Linked DNA regions of Elephas maximus indicus. The main gene of each other region encodes a partner of the protein of the gene in region 3 in a complex. Links are inferred from orthologs where the notes say so. Each region holds a gene or a part of one and is shown on either strand. Other genes may lie near its edges.

What was found.
Region 1: the proteins of NTRK2 (region 3) and NTF4 are in contact, whole or in part, in a crystal structure (PDB 1HCF), measured with the Homo sapiens proteins. The link is inferred for Elephas maximus indicus from reciprocal best matches to the Homo sapiens genes NTRK2 and NTF4. Residues at the interface, in NP_001018074.1 of Homo sapiens: Phe291, Glu293, Thr296, Ser297, Asp298, His299, Cys302, Pro304, Thr306, His335, Val336, His343, Gly344, Cys345, Asn350, Thr352, His353, Met379, Gly380, Trp381, Pro382, Gly383; in NP_001382418.1 of Homo sapiens: Gly81, Val82, Ser83, Glu84, Thr85, Ala86, Ser89, Arg90, Arg91, Gly92, Glu93, Leu94, Ala95, Asp98, Ala99, Ser101, Gly102, Trp103, Thr105, Tyr135, Phe137.
Region 2: the proteins of NTRK2 (region 3) and FRS2 are in contact, whole or in part, in an NMR structure (PDB 2MFQ), measured with the Homo sapiens proteins. The link is inferred for Elephas maximus indicus from reciprocal best matches to the Homo sapiens genes NTRK2 and FRS2. Residues at the interface, in NP_001018074.1 of Homo sapiens: Pro498, Asp499, Val501, Ile503, Gly504, Met505, Thr506, Lys507, Ile508, Pro509, Val510, Ile511, Glu512, Asn513, Pro514, Gln515, Tyr516, Gly518, Ile519; in NP_001036020.1 of Homo sapiens: Val26, Asp27, Asp28, Asp29, Gly30, Tyr59, Leu60, Cys61, Leu62, Arg63, Arg64, Tyr65, Gly66, Tyr67, Asp68, Ser69, Asn70, Leu71, Phe72, Ser73, Gly77, Arg78, Ile86, Ala88, Lys90, Phe98, Gln102, Met105, Gln106, Ser109.

The regions. Positions count from the first base shown.
Region 1 is NC_064829.1:99,427,610-99,434,667, reverse strand, and holds NTF4 (neurotrophin-4), read left to right. Parts: upstream 1-3,980; 5' UTR 3,981-4,038; intron 4,039-4,151; exon of another isoform or gene 4,152-4,179; intron 4,180-4,711; exon of another isoform or gene 4,712-4,729; intron 4,730-5,105; 5' UTR 5,106-5,229; intron 5,230-5,448; 5' UTR 5,449-5,533; intron 5,534-6,038; 5' UTR 6,039-6,050; coding exon 6,051-6,683; downstream 6,684-7,058. UniProt on the Homo sapiens protein: Target-derived survival factor for peripheral sensory sympathetic neurons. May promote ameloblast differentiation and subsequent reduction in proliferation of ameloblasts.
Region 2 is NC_064822.1:130,637,791-130,645,398, reverse strand, and holds the start of FRS2 (fibroblast growth factor receptor substrate 2), read right to left. Parts: upstream 3,068-7,608; 5' UTR 2,976-3,067; intron 1-2,975. UniProt on the Homo sapiens protein: Adapter protein that links activated FGR and NGF receptors to downstream signaling pathways.
Region 3 is NC_064827.1:101,995,732-102,003,574, forward strand, and holds the start of NTRK2 (BDNF/NT-3 growth factors receptor), read left to right. Parts: upstream 1-4,824; 5' UTR 4,825-5,124; intron 5,125-5,631; exon of another isoform or gene 5,632-5,716; intron 5,717-5,872; exon of another isoform or gene 5,873-6,020; 5' UTR 6,021-6,233; intron 6,234-6,722; 5' UTR 6,723-7,087; coding exon 7,088-7,299; intron 7,300-7,843. UniProt on the Homo sapiens protein: Receptor tyrosine kinase involved in the development and the maturation of the central and the peripheral nervous systems through regulation of neuron survival, proliferation, migration, differentiation, and synapse formation and plasticity.

The DNA.
Region 1 (7,058 bases), on a different chromosome or scaffold from region 3:
GTTGAGCTATATTGAGTTGTATAATCATGTGAGTCTCGTAGGGCCAGTTCAGTAGGGTCATATGATTGACTTGAATTACATTGAGTGTGTCATTGTATGAGTCCTGTAGGAATGTTGGATTGAGCTTTACTGTATGTATGTATGAGTTCTGTAGGGCCATGTTGGGTTATTTAGGATTTAGCTGTAGCACCAGGACCCAAGGATAACAACATAGGGGAGGAATTATGGATGGGGGAGTGAGCATGGCGTTGTGGGCCCTGAGAAGATATGCCAACTGGCTTAGCCAGCGTAACTCCATAAGGGAGCAAGGTTGGATTCTGTATTTGTGGATTCAGCTATTCATCCGGAGAGGCGCTGGGTGAACCAGGGAAATGTGGACACTCCTTCCATTCACACAACCTGCTTTGTTTTGCCATTCAAAACCCTTCTCTATCTGTCCTTCTCTGCATTTTTGCTCTCAGATAAGGAGATTAGGGCCACGGGAAGAGGGAGAGGAGAGAATACTGTTTGTACCCTGTTTAGACATAATGGGGGCACAGACACCAAAAGCAGGATACAGGGACCCACAGAGGTATTGAATTAGAGAGAGAAGAAGGGACAGAAATTCAGAGAGGAGGAACAGAGACCAAAGAGAGAGGGACAGAGACCTAGAGTAAGAGGAGGGAGAGAGACCCTGAGAAAGGGGAATAAAGACCCAGAGAGAGAGGGGGACAGAGACCTAGAAAGAGATGGGAACAGAGACCTGGAGAGAGAGGAGGACAGACAGTCAGAGAGAAAGGGGAACAGGGACCCAGAGAGACAGGGACAGACACCCAGACAGAGAGAAGAGGACAGAGACCCAGAAAAAAGGGGATAGAAATTCAAAGAGAGAGGCGGACAGAGACCAAGTTTGGAGGATAGAGACCCAGAGGGGGGTGTGAGACCCAGAGGGGGGTGTCATGCACCAGAGAATGACAGACACCCAGAGATGGAGACAGATCATAGAGGCCCCAGAGAAAGAGAACCAAAAGAGGAAAAGGCAGAAAAAGTCAATACCCCTAAACCCAAGAGAAAGACACAGATTCTCGATTTTACAAAACTATAAAGAGATCCTACACCAGGGTCTGTCGCCCAATCTCCCCACAGCTCAGGAAAGCTGTCAGCCACACTGGGTATCTCATCTGCTTTCCAGGGGAGAGACCCAAGTGTCAGAGAAAGGGAGAGGCTTTCCAAGGTCGCAGAGCAAGTTGCCAGGGCCGGAACTTGTGGCAGGCTGCCTGACTCCACATGCCCCCATCCGCCTGGGACACCCATGGCCTCTCAAGTTCAGTAGCCTCATTTCTGGCAGATAAAGAAATTGAGGCACAGAGGGAGGGGTGTTACCTAAGGTGGCAAAGCCAAATTTTTTCAGAGCAAAAAGGGCATTTGGAGGACAATGATAATAATGGTGATGTCGATGGTTATAATCACTAACACATACAGGGCTTCCTACGTACCAGGCATCAATCGAAGGACTTGTATTAATTTATTAAACTCATCCAGTGGTTTACAGAGTATTGTTGTCATTGTTTTTGGATATAATTACCCTTCCCCCCCCCTTCTTTAATTTGGTCAAATGAAATCTTATTTAGAGGCATCAGTGGGAAATGTCAGAGAGGACCTGGTTTGGGAGGAACACACATCCTTTCTAGTTCTTCTTGGCAACTCAAAATGCAGCTAAGGAATTCCATTTGGAAACGACTGATTTAATCCAACCACTTTTTTATACAGAGAAAGAGAGAAAAAGGTACAGATAATGAGAAGACTTTGGTAAAGGTTGTAAATAGTATAACTTTTTTTTTTTTTTTTTTTTTTTTAGGTAATTACTTCTTGCTTAAATAGAAAGGAAGTCATGTCTAGAGACAGAAATGGAGACAGACCCCCTACAGTGACAGAGACAAGCAGATGCTTAGAGTGAAGACCCCAGCACAGAGACCCAAAGAGGGAGGTGGATGCAGAGAGGGACTGAGACCTGGAGGAAGGGTAGCAATTCAAGGGGAGGAGGTAGAGCAAGAGAGAGGAGGACAGAGACCCAGACAGTGGGACACAGGGACCCAGAGAGATAGAGGAAGACAGAGACCCAGACAGAAGGGGACAGAGACCCAGAGAGAAGGGGACAGAGACCCGGAGAGAGGTGGGCAGAGACTCAGAGAGGGGGACAGAGACCCAAAGAGGGGTGACAGACCCAGAGAGAGAGGGACAGAAACCAGATAGAGGGAAGGACAGAATCCGGGGTGGGGGGGGGCGAGACCCAGAGAGAGGGAGACAAAGACCAGAGAGGAGGGGACAGAGACCCAGAGTAAGGCACAGAGAGACTCAGAAAGAGGGACAGAGACCCAGAGAAAGAGAGGAACAGACACCTATGGGCAGGGCAGAGCTTGAGGAGACCCTCCCACTATTTTTGTTACCCTTCTTTGAAAACTCAGCCCTGCTACCTCATCAGAAACCTGACTTTACACAGAGCCCCTGTGGTAGGGGGTGGAATGAGGGAAAGTGTGCTGAGGTCAGGGAGATGACCCAGAGGCTGGGAAGGTACTCCTCCCCCAGCTCCAATAAACAACTGCAGCCGCCTTCTATGCACCCTTGGCTGGGATGAGGAGGTGGAGAGGGGAACACCCTAACTAGGGGACACCCTTCCTGCCACCTTGCCATGCTATATTTAGGCTGAGGGAGGGGTACGGGATGACCCCCCAAGACGGGTGTCAGCTTTCCTCCTGAAAATAGCTCAGGGGGAGGGGAGTGGAGTCCCGGGGTGGAGGTGTTGTAGGGTGACCGGCCCTGTGGTGTAACTGTCCCGGGGCTCTCTCCAACTCCATCTTTCTTGGGGTTTCGTGGGGTCTCTGTCCCCCTCTCCCTGAAACTCTGTCTCCACTCTTTGTCTTGGTTTCTGTCACTTTTTATTTCTGTGCCTTTCCCCTTTTCTGCCTTCATCGTTCACTATCCACTCTTTCTCTAAGCAGGTCATTCTATTAGAAATACACCTTTACGTGAGTTCCATACTACCTGCAATTTCTCTTGGCTGAGCTCAGGGCCCGACGACCCTCTCCACAGTCCCCACCCAGGAAATTCCAGGATAGAGGACCATGTGGGAGAGCCCCCCACATTCACTGCCCCCCAGGGCCTCGGATCTTATCACTGCCCAAGTCCAGCTGGTTAATGTCTGGCACGGAGCTCCTGGGAAAGTGGGGATGTGAGCAGAGGGTGGGAATCTGCCCCAGCATTGACACTAAATTGGCAAAAGAAGGCAAAAGAATCTCAAAGCCCAGACTCTTGGATATGACGGAGGAGGGGGCTGGGGTCTGACTCCCGAGTGTGAGGAAGGAGGGGGCTGGGGGCCCAGACCTCTCAGTCTGAGGAAGGAGGGGGCTGGGGGCTCAGACCCCTCAGTCTGAGGGAAGAGGGGGCTGAGTGCCTGGACCCCTGACTTTGAGGGAGAAGGTTGGGGACCCCAACTCCTGGGTCTGAGGGAGGAAGGGGCTGGGGTCCTGGACTTCTGAGTCTGAGGGTGCTGGGACCCGTACTCCCGGGTCTGGGGGCGGAGGGGGCTGGGGGGCCCGGATTTCCGGGTCTGAAGGAGGAGAGGGCCGGGGCCCGTACTCCTGATTATGAGGGAAGGCGAACTGGGGCTGGGGAAGCCCTGATTTCCAGGTCTGAGGGAGGAGGCAGCTGGGGGCCCGGACTCCCGGGTCTAACGTAGGAGGGCGCAAGGGGCTGGGATTCCTGGGTCAGAGGGAGGAGGGGGCCGGGGGGCCGGGGGCCCGGACTGCCCCCGGGACCGAGAACCGCCACGTGCGAGCTAGCGGCCCGGCTCCCGCGGTCCGGCGCGAGTGGAAGGCGGCCCCGGCCCCGCCCCGCCGACGGCCCGCCCCCGCCCCCGCCCCCGCCCGCGCCCCCGCCCCGGGCCCTCCCGAGCGAGTGCGGCGCGGAGCCGGCGGGCGCGGGCGGCCCTGCAGACAGCGAGCGGGAGGTGGAGCCGCCGCCGCGCCAGGGGCCGCCGAGGAGCCAAGGACGGCGCCCCAGGTAAGAGCCTCCCGCCTCCGCCCCCGGGATGCCGGCGTCCGGGTCGCCCTGCCCCCGGGTGGGGAGGGGCGGGGGCGGGGCCGGTGGGGGCGGGGCTTGGCGGAGGAAACTGAGGCAGGAGCGCAGTGTCCGGGATATCCAGTGCGTCCCCCCCCAGCAGGGTCTCAGGAGTCCTGCCCTTCAGTCCAAACCGTCTGGTGGAAGGAGGGGCCTGGGAGTCTGCATTTTCAGTACCTGGAGAGGAGGGACCTGAACACCAGAACTCCTGGGTCCCGAGGGAGGAGGGTCCTGCGGGCCCATCAACTCCCTGGTGTGAGGGGGGAGGGAGATTGGGGCTAGAACTCCTGGGTCTGAGGGAGGAGTGGTCCGGGATTCCTGGACACCTGAGTACACGAGAGGAGGGAGCTGGGGGCCGGACTCCCGGGTCTGAGGGAGGAGGGGTCGGGGACCTGGATCCTGGGTCTGAGGGGAGGGAGCGGGGGCCTGAACTCAGGATCTGGGAGAGGAGGGCCTGGGGACTCGGACTCCTGAGTTTGAGCGAGGAGGGGACTGGGGCCCCCCGACCCCTGGGTCTGAGGATGAGGGGGGTGGAAGCTGGGACTCCTGGTCCTGGCTGGGGCAACATGCGCTCCTCTTCACACCCCACCCTTTCCGTTTCCCATCTCTGCGCCAGGGCAAGCAGCCACTCCAGGTATGTACTGTAGAAGTCTTGGGCGGGCCCTGGCCTGTCCTGTGAGGAGGGAACATTCCAGGAAGCAGCCTCGGGGACCCAGGGCCCTTAGGGACCCGGGTGTCCAGGCCCGCCCCGCGCCGCCCCCGCCGAGTCTGGGAGATGAATGGGCCGGGGAGGAGGATGTAATCTTTTCCAGCCTCCTCCATCCGCTGCCTCTCCCCTCCCCCCATCCCAGCCAGGAACCATCACCTGGGCAGGGAAGGGGCCTCTGGGAAGGGGGCGGCCCAACTCCTGGGTACCTTGTGTAGTAAGAGGAAAGCAGGGAAAGGCATATCAGGGTCTCATCCCTCCCCCCACCTGTCTATCCAATCTGCCTGTTCCTCCTTCTCCCTAGGTGGTTGCCCCCTCCTTCTCCTGAAATGTCAGGAAGGAGGGGGCCAACTGTGTCCCCCACAGGGGCCCCCTGGAGCCTGGGGGCCCCCAGCCCGGGAGCTTGGAGGCGGAGGAGGTGCTGACAGGTCTGGTAACCACCCCCTGCTTCCCAGCCCTCTCCAGGATACCCTTTCCCAGATCCACGGGCTTCTAGAATATTGTAGAGGAACTGCAGTAGCCACACCCCCCACAGCATCTCCCAGTCCTGGGTCTAGTTCACAGACAGAGAAACGGAGTCCTTGCCTGAGAGGGGGAGTGTCTTGCCGTGTTAATGGCAGTTTTCAGCTGAACTTGGGTCTTCCCAGGATCCCAGAACTTGGCCTTTCTCAAAATTTTGGAACTCACACCTCCTCCAAGCAGCAGGATTTGGGGTTCCTCAGGGTTATAGAGGTAAGATGGGCAAGTGAAATTGCCCAGGGTGGGTTCAAGTCCCGTCACTGTCGCTTGCTAGCTGTGTGACCTGGTGCCTGTAACAAGTCTCTCTGAGCCTGTGTTTCCTCATTTGTTTGTTATTATTACTGTTGTTAGTTGCCATAGGGTCAATTCCAACTCATGGCGATGCAGAGTAGAACTGAGCTGCTTAAGGTTTTCAGGGCTGTGACCCTTCAGAAGCAGATTGCCAGCCCTTTCTTCCGAGGCACCTCTGGGTGGGTTCAAAATACCAATCTTTCAAGTTGAAAGCTTAACTGTTTGCACCACCCGGGGACTCCTCGTATTAGTAATAGTAATAGAATATTTATTACTAATTTAGAAGTTGGGTATTATCCAAGTCCCAGAATATAGGGTCCTTAAAAATTCTAGAACAAGGGCCTCACCATGGTTCTGACATGCAGGCTTCCCTGGGGTTCCCAGCTTTTGCAGTCTTCTCTAACCCCAGCTCCCCCTCTCTCTTCAGGTGCTCAGCAAGATGCTCCCCCACCTCTCCAGCTCTCTCCCCATCCTCCTCCTCTTCCTCCTCCCCAGCATCCCATCAGAGCCCCGTCCCCCACCCACACCACTACCCCCATTTCTGGCCCCTGAGTGGGACCTCCTGTCCCCTCGAGTAGCCCTGTCCCGGGGCGCCCCCACAGGGCCCCCCTTGCTCTTTGTGTTGGAGGCTGGGGCCTTTGGGGAGCCTGGGGGCACTCCAGCCAACCGCAGTCGCCGCGGGGTGAGTGAGACAGCACCTGCCAGTCGCAGGGGTGAGCTGGCTGTGTGCGATGCAGTCAGTGGCTGGGTGACAGACCGCCGGACAGCCGTGGACCTGCGTGGGCGTGAGGTGGAGGTGCTGGGCGAGGTGCCTGCAGCTGGCGGCAGCCCCCTCCGCCAGTACTTCTTTGAGACCCGATGCAAGGCGGAAAACGCTGAGGAAGGTGACCCTGGTGGGGGTGGCGGGGGCTGCCGGGGTGTAGACCGGCGACACTGGGTATCTGAGTGCAAGGCCAAACAGTCCTACGTGCGGGCATTGACCGCTGATGCCCAGGGCCGTGTGGGCTGGCGATGGATTCGAATTGACACTGCCTGCGTCTGCACACTCCTCAGCCGTACTGGCCGGGCCTGAGGCTGGGCCCGGGAACTGGACAGGCCAAGGAAGAAGACACCTGGATGCTGAAGGACCTTGGGGAAGGCCTGGCTGTGCTGGGGGTCTGTTTGCAAATTTGTCAAATGCATGCCAAATCCCAGCTCTTTGATTTTAAGAGCTCAATCTGTGTAGGACAGGTGATAAAACCAAGTGGGGTATTGAAAGATGAATAGTTCTGCTGGAGGATAATGATGATGATGATGATAGCCAATATTTACTTAGTGTATATCAGCCCTAATACATAACACCTCAGCTAACTCTCTTGGATTGGACCATTGGAGGCCCTCAGCTTCTAAATTGCTGACCCTTCATTTTCAGAGGATACTGCCTGGCCCACCCTGGAGAGAGGGATAA
Region 2 (7,608 bases), on a different chromosome or scaffold from region 3:
CCAATGTTTAGCAAGTATATAAAAAAACTCACCGTATCTAATGCTGATCTCATTATGCACCTCCTTGCCCATAGTTCTAGTGAAAGTATCACCATCACCATCGCCCACAGCTAGAGAGTATAATCTACTTCCATCTCCTCCAAACCCTCCCCAATGATTTCCCCTCTCACCCACCTACTAAATCAATTGCCAAGTCTTCTTACTGTTAAACTTCTGTTCTCATCCCACTGCCATTGTCCTTGCCCTGAATACCATATTCAAAGTCAGTTTTCCACAACAGATCATTCTACACACTACACAATTAGACCTCAATAGCTTCTTATCACTTCCCAAATGTTGAACTCCTAAATACAGCATTTAAGCATGCTCCACAATCCAGCTGCAACTTAAATTTCAAACTTGATCTCTTATTCCCCAAAATGACCCCTATATCCTAAGTAACCTGGTCCACGAGCTTTTCTCTGAGTACACAGTGTACCTCCCCACCTCCACGCTTCTGCTAACGCCATTCTCTTTATTTGAAAGGCCTTCTTCACCCACCTACTACTTCCAACCCTTGAATCTTTGTCTTAGAACTCAGGTTACTAGTTACCTGATAGCTACAAAAACCTAGGCAAGTTAACATATTTGAGCCTCAGGGGCCTCATTACTAAGAAAGATGCTTACACGGCTGTTGTCATCTTAGAAAATACATGTAAAGCAGCTAACATAAGGCCTGACATTCACTAAGTGCTCAATAAACAGTAGCTCCCGCACTATCCTTGTATTACTATACTTCCACATTTCCCATTATTACTCCCACTGAAAGTGAACCCTTTTTCCTTTTGTACAACTCCAAACTTTGGGTCAAACTGATCATGGGGTATTTACATATATTTCTTTATGTTGTAAATATTTATGCAAACATCTTACATCCTCCTACCAGATTTCAAATCCCTGAAACCAAAGGCTTGATCTTTGTATCCTATAATGCCTAGCAGTGTTTTTCACTGCTAGCAACACCCATCTTCAATGTTAAGTCCCAACTGCCTAAACAATATAATTCTCTTCTTCATGATTTCTGACACCTTAGAAAATTATTGCCAAAACCGAAATTTGAGTTGCTATGGCTGTATCTTTTTATGCTCCTACATGGTTGTCTAACATAAGCTGATGCACAGCAAAGGTTTACTATCTGTTGAATTAACGTGAATAATATAATAAAATTTACAATGCCTAAGAGCATCTGATTTCTGTCATCTTTTTCTGCTCTTACAATTCCTGAACTATTTCCTTTCAAACCATATTAACTATCAAACCTTCAGTACAAATCTGTAATCATATCTAACTTAACTCTTTCTCCAAATTCTCTTAATTTCAATATTCCAACTTTATGCTTTAACCAATTAAGCAATTCAGGCTGTTAGGAATCTACAGCGCTCCTGTAAGTCAAGCAACTAATCTTCCCTCCACAATATTTTCCAGAGAGTTTTTAAAAAATATCCACCCTTTGAGATAAAATTTTCTTTGCATAGGAGAACTACTCACTTCAGTCTATCTTCCCTAATTCATGATATTACCTCCCCATACATTGAAGGAAAGGAGAATAAGTACACCAAAATAACTGTAGTATAAGTCCTAATATAACCACAAGATAAGAGGTGCAGAAAAGTACAGAAACTTCACTAGTTTCATGAAGATGGTCAATGTATACTTCACACTAAAAAATTTAAAAAAGAAAAAAAAAGTCATCTGCTCATAGCCATAATCTGCTGTAACTACATTCTCTTATGGCCATAATTTTTTCTTTTTTTTTTTAAATCACCATTCGAAATGGGAAAATCTTATTTCCCATAATCTTTCAACAAGTCTATATTATTTAAATCAAAAAATAACTACATCCACCCTCTCTTCTAGGAAATTCTCAATTTATTCGAGGTAAACACTTCCTAAGTTACACACACACACACCCTCCTCTGCCCACCTGTGTGAACCTCTCTCTGCACTGCAGCAACAGCTGTAACAATGTAAGAAACCTCTGAGGAGTAAACAAGAAAAAATTTTCTTTTAAGTGAAGGAAAATAACAGTTTCAAGTATGAAGATAAACTTCGGGACAGAAGGTATACAATTCTTCAACCCTTTGCAAGCAATTCCAAAACATGCAACAACCGCAGGCTGAACTCATCATACAACCGTGACTTCAGGTAGCCACGGAATCAGGAGTGCAGATGTGAAAAGAACATCATTTTTTTTTTTAAGTCTGCAAGAAAATACGGGAGCTTACGTGAAGTACTGATTTTTCCCAAGTAAGTTTTCTGTTTTGTTTTGAAGTGACTTCAATAAACGCTTCAGCAAGCTTTTAAGTGAGTAAAGATCATGTGAGGCAAGCCGATGCCACCGTGACCTACGTATCCAAAACCCGTTAAGAGCGCCGTCCAAATCGGCCCAGCACAACCCCAAAGCGGGTCTCCGTGGAAAGCATCGCAAAAGATCCCCAGCAGCTACGCACGCAACGCCCCACCCTGCAACTGAGGAGACGACACCCCTGAGACCTGGGCTAATTACTGAACCCGAGAACAAACCCATGGAAGACCAAAGTCGGGGACTGGAGCCCAAGATTGAGTCTGGTGTCCGAGTCGCTAGCTCCCAGACAGACACCGTAAACCAAGTTGGGGAGGCGGCGCTAAGTCTTGGGGGAGCAGAAACGAAGGGAGTCGGACCGACCGAGGCCCAGCCTATTCCCACTCCCGAGTCCCAAAAGCAACAACAGCTTCGGGAACCCCCTCCCCGGCTCCGCCCCGTCCATCCCCATGGCCCAGCTGCCCCGCTACTTCCCGCCCGGACGACTCGGCGGAGACCGCGGCGGCCCACAACCCGCTTCCCTCGGACCCCGACAGCCGAACCCGCAGCCCCGAGCCCAGAGAGGGCGGCGGGGGCCCGAAAGCGCCCCAACGCGGGCCTGAGGTCGTCCCAGTCTGCTCCCCCGTCCACTCACCGTCGGCCTACATGCCGGGAGGGGAGAGGGCGCGGGTCAGGGAGCGCAGAACCCCAGGTTCCAACCCTGGCTGGAGCCCCCACTTGAGAGCCGTTCGAGCTTCAGCTGCTTTGCCTACAAGGCCTCTCTCCGGCCCGAACCTTGGAAAAGCACTTCCGGGGGAGCGGGGAGGGAAGGGTTTTGGCACCGGAACTGCTCTCGGGCTGGAGCTGCCAGGGCCTCCCGGGCAGGGCGGGGCGGGGCGGGGCGGGGCGGGGAAGGGCGGGGCCTCTCCGCCCCGCGCCCGCGCAAATCTGCACCTAATCCGCCCCGCGGCTCCACCTTAACCCTTTACAACCCCGCACCCTTTATTTTTCTCGTGTCCGGGTTGTTCTACTCACTCCGGCCACCTTATTTCAACGACGAGGAAATCGAGGCTCAGAGAATTTAGTTGCAAGAATCCAGCGCAGACACTAGGCCTCCCGGCTGTCTCCAGTGTTCTTTCCACTCCAATCTTATTCCTTTAAAAAAAATAATAGCTAACATTTATTGAACACTTACTGTGTGGTAGACACAGCAATAGGCGCTTCCCTTATGTTAATTTATTGAATCATTCCCAAAACACTGAGGCTGGTGCTATTACCTACATCTTGCAGAAGAAAAAACTGGTCAAAGATTCCAAACCCAATACCACAAACTTGGCTTTTGGTTTTATTTTAACTCATATTGTGTATATAAATCTCATCTACCCTCAACGAAATATTTAAGTTCTTTTAGGGCAAGGACCAAATCGTATTCCATAATCACTTGCAATTTCGAAAGAGGACAAGAGCTGAGGGACTCTGGAATCACACCACCTGGTTCTGGTTATTTTTCACCAGGGCAAGTTACCTAACTTTTCCAAGCCTCGATTTAAAAAATGGCGAATATATACGTGGTGGGAGGGGGGGGCTGTTGGAAGAATTCTAGATGATAATGCATGATAAACACGTGGCAGAGTACCCCGTACCAAGATAAAGCAACCAAACCCCTTGCCAGTGGAGTTGATTCCGACTCATAGTGACCTTATAAAACCTATTGCTGGAGAGTTGATTGCGACTCACAGTGACCCTGTAACACAGAGCAGAACTGCCCCCACAGGGTTTCTAAGAAGCGGCTGGTGAATTCGAACTGCTGACCTTTTGGTTAGCAGCCTAACGCTTAACCACTGCACCACCAGGATCAACAATTCTTATACCTCATCGACAATAGGAACAATTTCTCTTCTAGTGGAGTCACTCTAGCAGAGGGTGATTAGGAAAAGTGTGGGTTAGCAATAGAAAAGGTCAGTTTAAGAAATAACAAAGAAACAGAGGTTTTTGCAATGTGAAAATTGAAGGTAAGTGAGCCAAAGAATGACCCAGGGCCAGCTTGAATGCTTCTGAAGCTGTGAACCGAGAAAATGTGAGGACCCACAGAGTCAGATGCCAGGCAGGCAAAGGAGGGAGGTAAGGAAAGAAAAAGCCACAAAATCAGAAAGGCACAGAACATTTTAGGCAGATTCTGTATCTGAGCCCAGACACAGGAAAAAAAAAAAAAAAAATGCCTCTTAGTATGCACACTATCTGCAAAACAAATTTACAAGTATCTCTTGAAACTGTGTGGGTGGAAGATTTTTTTTAATTTTCTAGTAAGGGGAAATGAAAATAGTTCAGAACTCATTATTACAAATTTCAGATGCAAACAATGCCATTACTATTGACTTTATTTATAGTGCAGTTTTATTTATTTTATTTTTGTGATCTTAGAAGTAATCTTAATTATTTTATTTTTGTGATACTTCCTTAATACCCAAATTCAAGCTGCCTTTCTTACTTCCGGGTGTGAAGAAGTAAAAAGCAGAGCCTGGGTTGGCAGGACTGAAGTCTTCTGTTTCCACCCAGGCCCTAGAGGAGTATTGAGTAGAATCCTGAATCACAGAGTGTCAGGCTCTGTGCCCACGGAGAGGTACTAGAGGTGGTCATTTAACCTGGTCATCTAACTGATAAATGTTGCAGCCATGATATTAATGCAAGTCTGTCTTCTCAAATGCTGTTCACCACCATGCCAGTGGTTCTCAAACTTGTCAGTGCATCAAAATTACCTAGAGGGCTGGTTAAAACACAGATTGCTTGGTCCCACCCCCAGAAGCCTACCGTGGCTTCGCAAAGTGAAGTCCCTGGACCAGCCACTTCAACATCATCTGGGAACGGGTTACAAATGCAAATGATTGGCCCAACCCTAGTCCTTGTGTATCAGAAACTCTGGGGTGGGACCCAGCAGTCCATATTTTAACAGGCCTTCCAGGAGATTCTGACATACTCACAAGTTTGAGAACCACTGCATTTTACTGTCTTCCACATATTACTCTGTCGAAGCAGAAATTCTTCCCACTGAACTAGATAATGTCTTGAAGCATTTTAATTATTTTTTGCCCTCAAAGGGAGATTAGGCTAGAAAAAAAAAATAGCATTAATGGCAGATTCCTTTTTTGATTACTTTAAATTTGTACAGAAACTTAACCAAATAATATTGGGATGGGTGGGGAACTAATGTCCTTTGAGAACTACTCTGTGCCAGGGGCTTTATATGGATTTTCTAATTCAATTTTCACTATACTACTATGAGGTTTTATGGTTTTAATTATTCAGATGAGAAAAACTGAAACTTAGGTGAAGTGACCAACTTAAGGCCACATTCTGGTTAAGTGGCAGAATCAGGATTGTTCAAACAAAGATCCCTCTAATTCCAAATCCTATGCTCCTTCCATTTTGTGGCAGGAGCTTTGAGAACCAAATTCCAGTGTGGTCTCCACCACCCCAACTATGCAACATTGAGTAAGCGATTTAATCTCTGTTTCAATTTCTCCATCTATAAAAAATGGTGTCATAAATCTGCTCCTCCTACACTGGAATGTCAGAACAAATGAAGAAATAAAAGTGTAAGCACTTTGAGCTATTTGAAGAAAAACAGTAAAAAGGCAAGTCATTACAGAAGTGTCTGTTTACCAGGTGTTGCTATGTGAGCCCTGGCATTAAAAGCTTTCCTGGTTATCTCCTGATTCATACATAAGACACTGAAAGACCATACTTGATGTCAAAGAAAAAGTTGAATTCATTTGTCAGTGTCTCCTGGAACTGCGAGGAGATGATAGAGGATGTCATGCATCTGTTTTAGAAATCACAGGGAACTTCTCACTGGTTGACTTTCTTCGACTCCAGGTTATTACCAGGTTGCTGACCCATCCTAATCCTAGAGGTCTCTTCTCCAAACCCTTTTTTGTCCCCATCCCAGGCACTCCTTCATTTTTCTTCCTTCCACCCAGTAGGGCAAGACTTAAAATTCCTGTTACTTTATCATGTAAAAGGTTTTGGTTCTCAATCCCCATCTCAAACCAGATTCCAGGCCTATCTTTGTTGACAGAATCACCAGGTTGCACAATTCCAGGGAGTACCATTCACAAAGAATACAATGTGAATGGTGCTCAAGGGGGTGCCAATTGCACAGACCATGATAGGAGTGCTGACCCCCTGGAACTGTGCAAGGCTGTGGCATAGCTCCCACCCCAAACTTCCATTAAGGTGTTTTGTTAAACAAAAGAGACATCTACCTGGGTGTCCACTCTTCCCCAAGCTTTAAAATAATGGGCTTCTTTGTTTGTTTTCTGTTTGTTTGTGAGCCTGATCAAATACTTAAACCACCCGGCTTAAGACCTGAGATCTACACTTTAATATAGCATTCTTCGCTCTCTTCTGCGATATTGTTGCCTATCTCCCCATTAGACTTGTGAGTTTCATGAAGACTTTATCATATTTTGTCCTCTTCATGTTTTATTCGTGCCTTGACACAAGTGCTCAAAAAGCATTTGCTGATTTGAACAACAGCATACTGTACTGTTAGTACACATTGTGAAATAAAAGAAAAAAATAGACATCTTACTTTGATTTCAAGGGGTGTCTCTTGCCCATGAGCCCAAAATTAAAAGTAAAAATGCTGAGCCAAAACTGATCTTGCCTGCAGCCTTGTTAACTTGTTTTTCACCCAAAACTGGTAATTTACTTTGCAACGTTGCTGTGCCTCTTGAAGAGGGTGGTCGATAACAAACGCATTACTTACTGACGTAATGAAGAAGACTGTGTGCGCCCTTAATTTTAATTTCAAGAAGTCTTATAGTTACAAAGGAGCCCTGGTGGCATTGTGGTTAAAGCGCTCGACCTTCAACCGAAAGGTCGGCAGTTCAAACACACCGGCCGCTCCAGGGGGAAAAGATTTGGCAGTCTGCTTGCATAAAGATTTACGGCCTTGGAAACTGTGGGGCAATTCTACTTTGTCTGATACGGTTGCTATAAGCTGAAATCCACTGGACAGCAACCGGTTTTTGGTTTGGTATAGCTACAAATATGTAAATAAACAGGTTTTTCAGGTACTTTTTAGAAAGTATTTCGCCACCATAGAAACTTATATTCATTAAGAAAAAAAAGAAAAAACTACACCTTAAAGATTTGTACAAATGAGTGCCACCACCACCACCCCCTCAAGTCGGGCCAGAGACTACCTAGTAACCTGATGCTGGCTGATCTCAGTAAATCAGCAGAGGGGTGTGTGTGGAAGGGGACGGGGAGGGTGGTTCAATCAC
Region 3 (7,843 bases):
ACAGTGGCTGCAACAATGGGCTTAAGCACAAGAACAATTGTGAGCATGGTGCAGGACTGGGCAGTGTTTCGTTATGTCGTACAGAGGGTCGTTGTCAGTCGTAACCGACTCGATTGCACCCAACAATTGTTTTTGTATGATTTCTAGTTGTGGATTTATTTTGGCATTCCTGTATTGTTTTCCCGAATTCTTCCATTATTTTTGGTCTGCCTTTTCCATGAATTCGTCTATTTTTTTCTTCATTTTTGTCTGCTTTTTACTTCAGCTCTTAGATAGCTCTGAATATTAGAGATTTGAATTCCCTATATTTTTTTTATGATCAGGTAGTTCTAGTGACTTTTCTTCTTCTGGAAAGTCACCTGATGTTTTATTTTGGATGTCCACTGGAACTTTTTTTGGGTACTGGAACCAACCTGTCCTTTTTTTTTTAAGCATGTTTTCATATTGTCTGCTGTCTTCAGGACATTCAGTAGTTCTATTCTTCATTTATTGATCGTAGATTTGTTTGTTTTATCCTGCTTTTTTTTTTTTGTTTTATTTGGTTATGTCTGAGCAGGTGGGCTGTGCGTTCTTTGTTATTTGCTTGTCTGTGGGTACGGTACTCTTCACCTCCTTGTCCAAAGGGCAGGGCCATTCACTCAGCTACGGTGTAGCAGGGCAGGTTCAGCAGGTGCTCTGTCTCCTGCCGGGAGCTCTGTGGATCTGCTTTCCTGTACTCCCTGTCCACTGCTCTTTGACATGGGCGGGGTGAATCCAAGCTGCACGGGGCCTTCACCTGCATGGAGCGCTCAGCTAACTAGAAGTGATGGATGCTCAGCAGCGGGGAGAAGGATGGGGGGTGGGAAAGTGTATATCGCCAGTTACCAGGTGCTCTGTGTCCTGTTGGGAGTTCTGTGAAGCTGCTTTCTCCTACTCCCTGTCCGCTGATCTCCGACAGGAGTCCAAAATGGTGAATCTGTGCTGTGTTAGCTGATAAGGGACCTCTGCATGTATCTTTCTTTGCTCTCCATTCTCTGTCAGCTTCTTCGTCTATTCGGTGCTTGGCTGAGTTATTTATCTCTTCATTTGATGCTTAGGGTTTCAGGACTGACATTTGTCTCCATTTTACTTAGTTTTTTTGAGTCTTTACTGTGGAGGGATGGCATGGTGCTTCAGTCTATAGCACCATGTTGTCTCCTCTTCCTTCCAAATTTTCATATGCTGTGTTTTCAACTTCTTTTTGACTTCTTCTTCATCTCAGCACTGGATACTGTTGCCTTCAATCCTTTCAGTGGGCTTTTCTCTGGTCTCAGGTACTTTCCTCGCCCACACGTGGTAGTCAGTTCTCCGCTGAATACTGAAGATCTTTGGATTTCTTTCTCTGTGCAACTCTTGCCTCCTTCTACTCCCTCCTTGATTTTCCTGGACTCTCAGCTGTGCCTTCTCAAGTCAGGGAACCCTATGGACTCTGCCTGGGTTCCCTCTCCCTGATCCATGGCCTGAGGTTATCTGAAGGTGGGGGGCTCAGGCAAGTGTAGGGCTCACCTTGTTTTTTTCCCATGCTTCAGTTTTATAAAATGTTGTTTCATATATTTTGATATCTTCTCACATATCAAAGAGAGATGGCTTGGTTATTTTGCTCGGAAGTTAAATCTGTTCCCTAAATACTCCTTAGAAACAGAAGTTGGCATTATCTTTATTTTTTACAACCTGTATTGGATGTTGAAATCAATTTATTAAAACTACAAAATGAACCAATGTCACTGAACAATTTGTGTAGAAATTGCCAAATGGGAACCTAATTTGCTGTGCAAACTTTCACCAAAAACACAATAAAATTTATTTTAAAAATTAAAGAAAAAAAACCCCAAAATAATGTAGAATAGAAAAGAAAATATGCATTGCATGTATTAAGGGTAAATAAGTTTTATTATGTTACACTTTGTTCAGTTATATGTATGTGTGTACTGGGTTGGAGCCCTGGTGGCGTAGCGGCTAAGAGCTTGGCTTCTAACCAAAAGGTAGACAGTTGGAATCCATCAACTGCTCCTTGGAAACCCTATGTGGCAGTTCTACTCTGTCCTATAGGGTTGCTGTGAGTTGGAATCGATTCTATGGCAACGGGTTTGGGTTGTTTTTTTTTTTTTTTTTTGGTACTGGGTTGTGATGTAAAAGGCATTTCTTATTGTGGGTCATGGTCAAAATAATTCGAGAAACACTGTTCTAGGTACTTCATGGTCCAGTACAGGTTGATGTTCTTAGTTGCTGTGGAGTCATGGTGACCCCACGTGCAACCCCATGCCTAGTCCTGCACCCTCCGCATAATCAGTTGCAGATTAGACACTTGTGATACATAGGGTTTTCATTGGCTGATTTTCTGAAGTAGATCTCCAGGCCTTTCTTCCTAGTCCTTCTTAGTCTGGAAGTTCCGCTGAAACCTGTTCAACGCCATAGCAACATGTGAGCCTCCACTGACAGATGGGTGGTGGCTGTACATGAGATGCATTTGCTGGGAATCAAACCTGGGTCTCCCCACATGGAAAGTAAGAATTCTGCCAGTAAACCACCAATGCCTTCCTGTACAGGGTAAGAGTCTGTAAAACTTCATCTTCATCCCTGCATTGAAAGATTCACATGATCTTGGGAAAAGTATCTATTTCATTTTGTTCATTTGCTGTAAAACCAAAAACCAAACTCAGTACTGCCAAGTCCAGTCAGATTCATAGTGACCCTATGGGGCACAACAGATCTGCTTCATAGGGTTTCCAAGGCTGTAATCTTTATGGCAGCAGACTGCCACATCTTTCTCCTGAGAAGCGGCTGGTGGGTTCAAACCTCCAACTTTGCCGTTAACAGCTGAGTGCTTTAGCCACTGCACCACCAGGGCTTCTGTTCATTTGCTATACGGGTCGTATTGTTGTTGTTAGGGACTGTCAAGTCAGTTCCGACTCATAGCGACCCAATGAACAACAGAATGAAATACTTCCTGGTCCTGTGCCATCCTCACAATCGTTATGATGTTTGAGCAGATTGTTGCAGCCACTGTGTCAATCCATCTCATTGGGGTAGACTCTTCCTTGGAGGGGGCAGCTTTTCCCCAGGTGAATTTTGAGTGCCTTACAAACTGAGGGGCTCATCTTCCAACACTATATCAGACAATGCTTTGCTGCTATTCATAAGGTTTTCACTGGCTAATTCTTTCCAGAAGTAGGCCATAGAGGTTGTATAGTTCCTGAAATGATGCCTGTGAAACATCTTGTAGGTCTTAAAATTTTAAAGTTGAAATATATCCACAATTTCATCAGCTAAGACATATTAAGTGATTGCCCAGTATGTTCCATGCGCCATGGATGATAAGGTTGAGTCACCTGCTCAGAGAGAGGCCTTCCCTGCCTCACACTGGAGCATACCTGGCTGCTATAGGAGGCAGGAAGTAAGGTTTCATGAAGTGCTGTGAGAAGTTACAGCACAGGGAAGGCTTGGAGATTGTGGACCTGGCAGGAAGATTGTGGAGATGGTAGAAAGAATGTCTAGAGGAATTATTTAGAAGTCATTGCAGGGAAAAAAAAAAAAAATTTTTTTTTTTTTCATTGCAGGGTCAGAGATTAAGAAAGTGGTAGTGTGCAGGGACAGTTTGAGGAATCACGGTTTTAGTTTATTTCATGTATTCATTAAACACACATAGAAAGATATATTTTAACATCTACAATGTCCTTGAGATATGTCAAGGAACCAGGCAGATAAAAATCCCTGGCCTCATGGAGCTTGCATTCTACTGGGATAAACACAATAAACAATGAATATAATACGTAAGTAAATGATCTGTTAAACGGCCATCAGGACTATGGGAGAAAAGCAGAGCAAGGGAAAGGGTGATTAGCCAGTTCTAATTTTACCTGGGAGATACTCAGGGGGATAAACTTCGGATCTAAATATAATAGTAGTATATATCTATTACAAAAAATGCTAAAAATACTGGAGCATAATTGGAATCTTCAGGTCTACAATCCACTCTAAAACTCAGATCTTTGGACGCTGCATTGTCACTTAGCAGCCACTAGGGCGCAAATGGGCCATTTGGAAGAAAATAGGGTGAGAGTGGGGGTATGAAAGAGATGCAAGGAATTATGTACCCCTCTCAATCGCAGATGTTCCGAAGGGGCAGCTCTGCTTCAGGAGACCGGTAAGAAACGTGGGATTTTACTGCGTGACCTGACCCAAGACATCTTTGCCCTCAACTTCCTTTCCTTAGCATGTCCTCACCCAAGTAGGGGATGGGGCTCAGAGAAGGCAGGAACTTCAGCCTGGCTGTTCAGCGTGTCACAGGCAGGTAAAGGTGGTGAGGCAGATCTACTGGCCATGTCTTCGTTGCCAGCAGCGAGACTTTGGTAGCTGCGCGGGCATTCCCACGGTACACTCAGCGCCTAGGGTCTACACAAAAGCCCCACTGGATGCTTTCGGTTCACTTGTAATATTTAAGGCGTCACTGAGATCCGAGCATTCATCTTGAAGTTTGGATTTCTCTATTCTTCCCACCTCTAGCCTCTGTGGGCAGATTAATGACCATTTTTGTCTTTTGGAGGAGACCTCAGTCCATCGCCCTCTCTAGCGCCTAGGGCAGTCCGCCTTTTTCTGAAGCAGGAGCTGGGCAAGGCCAGAAGGGCCACGCATCGGGCGTACCCGGGTGCGCACGCGTCGGGCGCAGCTGGTTGCGCATCTGGCTACAGAGCGCGCCCCCGACACCGCGCGGGTCGCAACCGCGGCGGTGGGCTGGTGCTCCCGAGCGTGCCGGGCGCTTTCTCCCCGCGCGGGGGCACCAGAGCCCTCGGAAGTGTCAGGCACTGCGGTGCATTTTCTCAGTTCCCTTTTAAATGACTGCGGAAAAACAGACTCTCTGAGCCGCAAATGGGAAGACGGATTCTAAGACAAGGCTCGCGAATGCCCCGGAGCCATCATTTACCTGCGCCTGCAGAGCAGTTACGGTTTATCACTCGACTCGTCCGGATCGCCTCGTTTGTCCCTAGTGAGACCCTGAGGCTTTGCCCGCGCCGGGCTTCTCGGTAGCTGAATGCATGTCGTGCTCCAGGGAGCGCGGGCACAGGGCACGCATTCGCGCACACCCGCGCACACACGAACACGCACAAGGTACGGCAGGGGAGTACGGGCTCGGGGTGCCCCGAGTAGGGGTGGGTCTCGCGGGGAGTAAAGCTACGACCTGGGAACGGCTGCGTCCTTCCAGGTTAAAGAAAAAGAGAAAATGACGCGGCGCCACACATTGGACAGGCCAAGGCTGCTTCCGCGCATTTAGGAAACCCAATACGGGTCAGGCGAGCCCCCTTTCCTTCACATGGCTCTATTTCCCAAGCGTGTGATGCCAGAAATCGGCAGAAAAAAGACCCACTTAGAGAGCCCAGAGTTGCGTTTGGAGACTCCCCTCCCTCTGCAAAAATACAACAGGAAGACCTTCCAAAACCACCGATCCCCAGATAGGTGGCCCGGAATGGGGGTGGTGATCTTTGGTTGCCAATGCAGAACACTTTTTGGTATTTACAATATTTATTTATTTTTAGGATAGCCCGCCCTCCCTTTTCGGCAGGGTGGGAAAGGAGAACGCAGCAGGGAGGGGTTGGGAAGATTCCTATAATAAGAATCAGCGCATTTTTCAGAGCTGAACCGAGCCCGGTTTCCATTTCAAAAAAAGGCAACAGCCTCTACTGCAATTGTAGAAGAGACTGCGGTGAGAATTAGGGACCTGGGGGCTGGGGGAGGCGTTGAGTGGAGGAATGGTCCATCTCAGAGGTACCTGGATCTAAATGCACACACGCACACACACTGGCGCGCGCGTCTACACGGCCAGGATGTGTGCGTGTGTGTGCGCGCGTGTGAACTCCCACATGCTGCTGCTGTCTGCTTCTGGCCAGTGGCACCCGTACTTCCCTCCTCCTCTCTCGCCCCCAGATTCTCCTCCCCTCCCTGTTGCTTTTGTCTGGAGGGTGTTATGGGTTTGTGTGTGTATAAGCGTGTGTGTTTTTGGATTTCAGACTAATTTTCTGGAGTTTCTGCCCCTGCTCTGCGTCAGCCCTCACGTCACTTCGCCAGCAGTAGCAGAGGCGGCGGCGGCGGCGGCTCCCGGAATTGGTTTGAAGCAGGAGCCTCGCTCGCTCCTTCTCTTGCGCTCTCCGCGGCTCAGTGCCCGGCGGCGGGAGGAACGTGGATCCAGGCGCCGCCGGCGGGTGGGAGGCGCCGGAGCCTGGGTGAGCAGCGCGGGCAGTGCCCTTCGTCCCCTCGGCCCTCACTATCCCCCCTGGGGCGGCCTCAGCGGCTCCCCAGGTGGGACGCGCCGCGCCACCTGCCCGCGCTCCCAGCGCCCAGCGGCCGTGGCGGATTCTGCAGCATCATTCGGGGACCCCGTCGCGGAGTCAGCACCGCCGGCAGTCTCAGCGTCCCCCTATAGAGGGTCCTTCGCCCGGCCTACGCCATGGAATCCTGTGGGGGGGACTTTTGCCCTACCTTCCCTTCCCTGACCTCAGGCTTGGAGAGAGGGTGGGCGCACTGTTTGCCCCAGCAGCGTCAGTGCCATCGTGGGGCAAGTCGATTTCTAGGGGCCGGAGCGGGGCCCTCATCCATCCATGGTTTCCCTGCTGGGGTCGGGGTGGGGGTAAAGGGAGCGCAAAGGGAGAGTACCCCAATTCGCGGTGTCTGGGGTCCCACGCTCAGGCTCATGTGTGTCTATTTGTCTTCAGCCTCGAGGTACGTCCCGGATCCCCGTGCGCATTTAACCAGGAGCCTGCGCGGGAGCCAGTCCCGGGAGCGCCGCCGGCCGGTGCCCACCGCGCCAGGCCATGCAGCGGCGGCCGCGGCGGAGATCTGAGCGGCGGTAGCGCCCCCTGTGAGGTTGCCCTCAATGCCCCAGGCACTGTGAACCGTGCCGCCAGCCGGGACACACTCAGCCCCGGAGACGCTCGGCTCTGCACGCCGGCGACCAGCACCGACTAGTCGAAGGACCGGCGAGCGCGGGGAAGGCCGCTCGGCGCGGGCAGAGGAAGCCGACCGGTGCAGCGCGAGGACACGCACTTGGGCTGACTCGGACTGGCACTGGCGGCTAGGGATGTCGTCCTGGACGAGGTGGCATGGACCCGCCATGGTGCTGTTCTGGGGCTTCTGCTGGCTAGTTGTGGGCTTCTGGAGGGCTGCGCTCGCCTGCCCCACATCCTGCAAATGCAGCGCCTCTCGGATCTGGTGCAGCGACCCTTTTCCGGGCATCGTGGCATTTCCGAGGTTGGAGCCTAACAGTGCAGAGCCTGAGAATATCACCGAAATGTGAGTTCCTGATGCTCTTCCTCCTTTCTTTCTTCCTCAGCCCGAAGGTTCCCTCCTCAGCACTAGGGCCCGGGCCTGCCAGGCGGGTACTTTCAGGGCGTGAGTGCTGTCCCAAGTCTGGGGAGAAGTCAAATGAGAAGAGATGGAGGGAAGGGGCGCCTGTCAGTTTACCTGGCTTGGGGCTGCTAGCTCAAGGAGAAGTGTGACACTTTTATATACATATATATGTATATGTGTGTATGTATATATACTCGGTACAGAAAGGAATTCCATATATACTTTATATTTGAAAGCCCTGCTGAGTGTGCTTTCGGCTTTCCATATGATATACAATAACTTAGCTTTGGACATTTTTGTGCCATAAGATGCTATGTTTGTGTCATGTTAGAAGTTCCAGCAAGATTTAAATAGAAAGGTGGTTAAAATAATCAGCTTTCCAAAATCTGTCCAAGGAGGTCTCTCCACCAGCATCTTTCTGTGAGGTTTGGTGTTAACCAATTTCCCTTTTGATTTCATAGATCAGATTTTGCTTAGGAGATTGCAG